Kluyveromyces lactis: one gene and its partners. The protein of the gene in region 3 interacts with the protein of the main gene of each other region in a biochemical or structural test. Links are inferred from orthologs where the notes say so. Each region holds a gene or a part of one and is shown on either strand. Other genes may lie near its edges.

Region 1 (2,012 bases), on a different chromosome or scaffold from region 3:
AGATTGCTTATCTATACTGTTTGATGCGACGGCACTGACGACAATGACCTTATAATTGGTATTAAGGGAAATATGCATAACATGAATAATATCTGGATTACGACGATGATATTATCTTGGATTTGGGTTGGTTGAAGTCACGTGCCTGTTCACGTGATTTTGAGCAATTCCAAACCCCATGTCTCTCTCTCTTTCCGCTTATTAATCCTCGAACAGCAGTCTAGCATGGATCGGAACGTCGTGGAAGACACAAATCGTCTGTCCTTGCTGTTTACAGACACCGTGTTTCAGTACCATAACCTACCCTAAAGACATATTAATTGTCTACGCAAACGATTGGTGTTTTGCGCGAAAGAGATAAACAAAATGAGTAAATTTACTAGCATTTTGAGTCATCCCAGTAATTGTAGAACTGTTGAGATCATATTGAATCTGTTAGAATCGCGTTTCTGTTAATTATACCTATTTAAAATGCAAAACATGGGATGCGGACCAAGGAAATTATGTGGGGGAACTGGACTAGTGGGACTGTCGTTCATTGATTGAAAGAAATATGAAAAAGAGAGGGGAAAGCATTCCTGTAAATGGGCCATGCTAACGCTTCTTCAGAGGCTCAACCACTAATTTATCAAATGTGTACATGTTAGAGATCACAGATTGCCTCTTCAATACACCAAGGTCTTTTTCTGCCTCAGAAAGCAATTCGCTGATCTTTTCAGGATTTTCAACGTTCTTATTGGCACGGAATGACTCTCTTGCCCTTCTTAAAAAATACTCTCTGAAATTGTAATTCTGTATCTTGCTCGCGTTCCTGATGAACTCTTTATACATATGCAATATCTGCGTTTTGCTTGCTCCAGTAGCTGGCATCTCTTGTATTAATATATGTGTGTGCTTGTGGATGTGTAGCTAGTTGAAGAGTTGAAATTATCTTCCTTACGAAATCACTCCAATTCCTTTCGTAAAAATACCTTTAAAACAACGGAAAGAATAAAACTGAAAGCTAGCGGATCAAATAATTACACGCAGAAACTCCGGTCTATGATAATACCGATATGGGATCCTGAACCTTACCTTGTGATTTGTGTTATGTATGATTAAACGTTCTTCTAAAAGTACTAAAAAATATAATAAAGTACAATATTTTTTTCCTTCTTTCCAATGTTAAAGAAATCAGAAAACGAAAGGAAATTAAAAACTGAAACTAAAAAACCAAAACACAACTTTATTCTGATTCTGATGGCAACGTGAATTTAAGATGTAAATTTTACTGTATAATAGTTTCTTGAATATTCTTCTGTTTTGCACTGCAATTCAGGAATATATTTATATATATATACTTCTATCTCCGAATTAGCTGAGAAAGATTTGGATTGTCTTTTCTTCTGTCAGTGCCGTTCCCTTATTAAAGTTAAAGTCAACTTTCGTACGGTATTTGTTAAATCCGTGGAGTAATATCGGAGCCAGGAGTTATTTTGGGTACTGGTAAGCAAACCGGTAAAGCAGTTTCGACGTTTGAGTGGTTAAGGTTAGACGATTATGAATAGTTATCAAGAATACCAGAGATTACAACATCTGTTGAGTGATCCAAAATATCAGCCATACGTGAATTTGGCAAAAAAACTGACATACTATGCCTCTTATTATCTGATATGGGCCCTACAGACGGTGCATTCGCTTGTAAGTAGGTACCCACAAGTCTCTGACTGGTTGGGTTACTTGTTTTCATTATACATGGCCTATTTGACTATAAAGCGTGCCATTCGAGTTGTTAAATCGTCCTCTTATGTTATTCTGGTAGTATTTGGTCTTTACGTCTGGCAAAGAGGCGTTTCTCAAGTTATCCTGATGGATTTGCCATATCTGGCAGATAGGTTAAAACAGTACGTGCATAACTTACCAAGGGATGCTCATGGGAACGGATCCTTTCTCAAGGATGTGTATGCTCCGTTTTATGATTTGTACAATTCGTTACAGGCGTTATTTTAATGCATGGAAGAGCGAAAATTTCT
Region 2 (2,411 bases), on a different chromosome or scaffold from region 3:
ACCGTGCAAATCCTTCAATTTATCAATCTTTAGAGACTCTGGCAACTTGACAGCAAATCCCTTAATTAAGGAATAGTCATGGACAATAGTACCACCCAGAGAAGAAATGGAGTTTTTGATCTTTGAAGCGTCGGCTTCTGGAACGCTGTCTTTGAATGTGATAATGAACGATTTGAATGTCATGATTGTTATGATTGGGGTTGTTTGCTTCTGGCTCAGAATGACCCCTTCTTTACCGAGACTATCAAATGTGGTTTATAGAAGAGAAAGTTACTGAGTCAAACAGATTTCATTTATAGAAGAGAAAGTTACTGAGTCAAACAGATTTCATTTATATAGCAACAAAGTATAGACTATAAAGAACAAAAGAAGTCAGGGACTGTGTAAGTGCAATCGCGTCAGTAAGGTATATTTTGGACGTTATAGGTATAAATAAATGAAACAAACAAAAGTATATACATAAATAAGAGTAAAATTGGTTGATTGTGATCTCTGAATTGTTTCTGCGAAATTGGGTCCTTAACGGTGAACTGCGGACATGCCATAGTTGTAAGGCAGTTTGTGAGCAGCAAGATCATATTTACATCGTTCAGTAATGTAGGTCAATTTCGTCGCCTTCTAGTCGGTCACTGAGCTCTTTGTTTAGGATATCCAGTAACTTCGTACCGTCTCTCAACGAAACCCACTCCTTTTGATAGTAATCGAATCGGTTGGGCCCAGACACCGGAGAAGCCAACCATATTTGTTTATTTGGGGGCTGCTTGTTGATTACATATGTACCAACGGAAGGAACTTCTATACTCATCACACCTTGTGACATCTCAACATCCTGCACGACTTCTGGATGATAATCACAGAGAATTTCGAGCTGATCCAGTAAGCTATCCATAAACTCATCAGAAATTTCGTGATACACTTCGATAGGCATATCCAGAATCTCTTCTGGGATAGTTTTCCCATCTGTTGATGCTGCTATACTGTTATGCATCCGCTGTACTGTAACAAAGGGTAGATTATGTTGATTCAAAATCCCGAGTTTTGACAACACAGGAGCCCTAGTTGGTGCAGTTCTTGCGAGACCTATGCTAGGTATCGCTTTGGTAACAATACTACGTCTGGAAATGACGCTTCTAATGACCCTGGAGCTATTTTTCACTAGCATTTATTCCTTATCTTCTAATTTCTTTCCTACTGTATCAATTCAATACTCCGAATAATTCCTTTGAACGTTGTCTGTTCCCGCAAGCCTCAAGGTAAATTTACTAATTCAAGCTAATAGCAACTAGGACTGATTCAGTTTTCGCACCTCAATATGTTGTATGCTGAACTCAACGTGATAGAGAATAACGTACCTAAACTGTGATTTCTCAACCTACTTCAACTGAAAAGGTCCTTCAAGTCTTTTAAGTTTATATCTAATTTCCACAATCTATATTGAAAAAAAAAGATCGATGAGCCGACACTCACACTATATGGCTAATGGCTATGCATACAAAGGGAAACAACTGTTTCTTAAGATATAATATCAACTTCTTGACGAAAAGTGCCAACTAGACGTCAGTACTGCCTTTCGCAATGAACCCATTTGTATATTTAATTGTGTTTCTTTTAGTGGTAGCTTTCGTTGTATTACTACCGCTAATTGGAGGAATTGGTTCATATTCAGTGGACAAGAAGACTACCAGACGCAGTGGTGATGCCAAAGATTCGGAAAAGGCTGGATCCCTTGCAAAATATGCAAAATTGAAGAAAGAGGATGCACCTGTGAAGTTTAAAGTTAGTTCATCACAAGAAGGTGAGGGATTTGGGACTCGGAAGTTCGAAATCGATGGGAAAACAGGGTTGAAGAAGCGTGTCATTGGTAAATACAATGAGGACGAAGCTGAATTTGATTATGATGTTGATGAGTTGATCGCGGAGGATTTAAGAGAGCAACAACAAGAGGAAGCTGCAAGGTATGCCCAGTATTTGGGTAAAGAAAATGAGACACAGGAAAATCTTGTGTGAGCCTTTTTGTTCTCACAAGTAAAGAGGTTTACGTACAGCGTTTCAAACTCCTCCAAAACTCTGATTGTAACATGCTATTATATTAGGGGATTTGTGATATTTATGTATCTATGTAACTAGATGCGTGAAATTGCAAAATAAAATTCAATGAGTTACTTGATCAACAGCAGGTTCACCTTCAATCTCTACGTTGAATTCATTCTCGTATTCAGTATCGTCTTTCATCTTCCCTGTTTCTGTATCATAATCGTACTCGTAGAACAACATGAAAACACCGGGGGTAGAAAGCACTTCTTGTTCGTCGACAATGTAAACACTTTCGTCACTAATTCTCCACCAGCAACCACGGAACCTTCTAAATGCAATGTAATGACCATAGTTATGAGTACCATAATGTACAATAA
Region 3 (3,036 bases):
AACCTTCTCCGTTCTCATTACGTAGTAACGCCTGCAAAGTTTGCAAAGAAGAATTTGTCCTATGAGTCTGTGTCCGTTGCTTGATCACTTCAGCAGGAACACGAACCATACATGCAGAAATCTCACCAAAACTAGAAGAGACCATATGCGAAAGCGTATCTGCCGTTTGATCTTCACCTTTTGGCAAAAGCTGACCGATAACAGGCCGCGACCAGCACTTCATCGAATCATACGCAACGAAAAACAAAGAAGCACTTGGTGCACTCGCAACAACCGCGCTCCCAAGACCACGGTACACACCTTTGTATCCACCATTGGCGAAAAACCCACCTTTAGCTTGTAACCGGGTTTTCAAGGTGTCTATTGGGAAAAATGCCAGATCGGTCGACGTTCCTGCTGCGGCACCACTCACCAAGGACGCAATAAACATCTGAGAATCCATTTCGCACTATTCCCCCAAACTCCGATCTATAAAAGACTCGTCTGAGTCTGTAATTGATGTACAATTCGTCTTTCAAACCAGGTGATGGTGCAACAAATGCAAATCTTTAAATCATACATATGTATATGTTCGGTTCACTGCTCTGGCTTCTTTTTTTTTCAACATAGGATTTGAGGAAAAAAAATCGAGAAATGAAAATAATTGGAATTTGGGAGGGAAACACATCTTGACTAATGCAAGAATCAGAATCAAAATAGAGGAGAAGAAGAGTTTAGAGAGCAACAAAGGGTCTATATTCTCAGTTGCGTATTAGGAAATTGTCTGATAGTACAAGACCTAATTTTAGAAACAAGAATTGATTGATACATTCAGTGTACTTTCAGTGATATCCCAGGTTTTTTTGTTCATTGTTTTTAAGGACAAAAGCTCGGTTTTAAAAGGAGTTATAGTTCTAAGATCGTATACAAGTTTCAAGCAACAGTCTACTATCCTAAGATAGATATTGTAATGACGATGACATTGTTAAGAGGAGTGAGTGTTTTTTCCAGGCGTGTGCCCGTTGCTGGTGGTTTTGGCTATTTGAAGCGTGCTGATATTAGTAACGTTGTTTTACAGGGACGGACGTATGCAAGTGCCAAGGTTGCCTTAGCAGAAGATTTGACTTTGGAAACGCATACAGATAACCAAGCAGCAGCTATTGAGCAAGCCAACGAAAGAGCCGTGTCAAATCCCGATGTTTTGGACAGTGGTATACATTCTTTGCAACATGCATACCGTGAATCCGGGGAATACGGTACAAGACCTATATATCTCGACATGCAAGCTACCACTCCAACAGACCCAAGAGTTCTAGATACCATGTTGAAATTCTACACGGGGCTTTATGGTAATCCTCATTCAAATACTCATAGCTATGGTTGGGAAACTAACAAGGAGATCGAACAAGCAAGAAAATACATCGCCGATGTTATCAAAGCTGATCCAAAGGAGATAATCTTCACTTCCGGTGCTACAGAATCAAATAATATGGCTTTGAAGGGTGTCTCAAGGTTTTACAAGAAGACAAGAAACCATATTATCACTACAAGAACTGAACACAAGTGTGTGTTAGAAGCCGCCAGAGCTATGAAGAACGAAGGATACGAAATCACATTTTTGAATGTTGATGAGCAGGGTTTGATCAATTTAGAAGAGTTGGAAGCTGCGATCAGACCTGAAACTTGTTTAGTTTCTGTTATGGCCGTCAACAACGAAATTGGTGTTATGCAACCATTGAAAGAAATTGGTGAACTTTGTAGAAAACGCAAAGTTTTCTTCCATACCGATGCAGCGCAAGCTTATGGTAAGATACCTATCGATGTGAACGAAATGAAAATAGATCTGATGTCCATTTCCTCACACAAAATTTATGGTCCAAAGGGAATTGGTGCCATTTACGTTAGAAGAAAGCCAAGAGTCAGATTAGATCCGCTTATCTCCGGTGGTGGTCAAGAAAGAGGTTTACGTTCTGGTACATTGGCTCCACCTTTGGTTGCCGGCTTCGGGGAAGCAGCAAGATTGATGATGAAAGAATACGAGAACGACTCAAATCACATTAAAAGATTATCTGACAAATTAATGAACGCTTTGTTATCTATTGACCATACAATCTTAAACGGTTCTGCTGACCATCGTTACCCAGGTTGTGTTAACATTTCATTCGCATATGTCGAAGGTGAATCCTTATTGATGGCTCTTAGAGATATTGCTTTGAGTTCTGGTTCTGCTTGTACTTCGGCATCTTTAGAACCATCTTATGTGTTGCATGCATTGGGTAAAGATGATGCTTTAGCACACTCTTCCATCAGATTCGGTATTGGTAGATTCACCACTGATGAAGAAATTGATTACGTTATCAAGGCTATCACGGAAAGAGTTGATTTCCTAAGAGAGTTGTCCCCATTATGGGAGATGGTCAAGGAAGGTATTGACTTGAACTCCATCGAATGGTCAGGTCATTAAGCTGGAACAAAAGTGATCTATATCATAGATTCATCATTTTATTTTCTTGCTAGAGTGCATACCAAATCTTTATCTGGTTTCTCAATTTACATGATCTCCCGTTATAACTCGGGGAACTACTACCGTATATACTTTGTTCCTCGATTTCAAAGTACAATCATAATCTCATCTGACTTATCGTTTTTTCTTTTATCTTTCTCTTCATCTCAATATTATGATTAGATTGTTTTGTAAGCTTTTCTACCTGAAATATGCACCAATATTCAGAATATCTCGTTTGCCAGTTTTTATACAAGTCTTTCTATAGTTAAGTATAAAAATGTTATGTTATTAACGTTCAAATGCTCAATCACATCTGGACAAGCAAATTTCCTTGTCTTCAGTTCATTTTGGGTATGCTCCTTTAGATTTAACACATTGCAGGCTAACCGGAACCTGTATTATTTAGTTTATGCTACGTTAAATAAAGACCTTTCGTTCACATAACTGAATGTGTAATGGCCTTGAGATTTCAAGCATACCAAGTTGGTGGAGACGGGGTCGTTACAAAAGACTCTTTAAGCCAAGATTTCCTTGACAGCCTTGGCGATAGC

Evidence for each region.
Region 1: the proteins of NFS1 (region 3) and ISD11 form a complex in vitro, tested with the Saccharomyces cerevisiae proteins (3 studies listed by BioGRID). The link is inferred for Kluyveromyces lactis from reciprocal best matches to the Saccharomyces cerevisiae genes NFS1 and ISD11.
Region 2: the proteins of NFS1 (region 3) and YFH1 form a complex in vitro, tested with the Saccharomyces cerevisiae proteins (2 studies listed by BioGRID). The link is inferred for Kluyveromyces lactis from reciprocal best matches to the Saccharomyces cerevisiae genes NFS1 and YFH1.

What each region holds. Positions count from the first base shown.
Region 1 is NC_006041.1:402,170-404,181, reverse strand, and holds ISD11 (Isd11p), read right to left. Parts: upstream 871-2,012; coding exon 595-870; downstream 1-594. Other genes in the region: APQ12 (Apq12p), read left to right, coding at 1,540-1,989.
Region 2 is NC_006041.1:787,047-789,457, reverse strand, and holds YFH1 (ferroxidase), read right to left. Parts: upstream 1,163-2,411; coding exon 590-1,162; downstream 1-589. Other genes in the region: PBI2 (Pbi2p), read right to left, coding at 1-183; EXP1 (Exp1p), read left to right, coding at 1,576-2,007; ubiquitin-specific protease UBP1, read right to left, coding at 2,152-2,411. UniProt on the Saccharomyces cerevisiae protein: Promotes the biosynthesis of heme as well as the assembly and repair of iron-sulfur clusters by delivering Fe(2+) to proteins involved in these pathways.
Region 3 is NC_006040.1:421,956-424,991, reverse strand, and holds NFS1 (cysteine desulfurase), read left to right. Parts: upstream 1-949; coding exon 950-2,443; downstream 2,444-3,036. Other genes in the region: PET8 (Pet8p), read right to left, coding at 1-442; LEU2 (3-isopropylmalate dehydrogenase), read right to left, coding at 3,001-3,036. UniProt on the Saccharomyces cerevisiae protein: Catalyzes the removal of elemental sulfur from cysteine to produce alanine. It supplies the inorganic sulfur for iron-sulfur (Fe-S) clusters. Plays a role in both tRNA-processing and mitochondrial metabolism.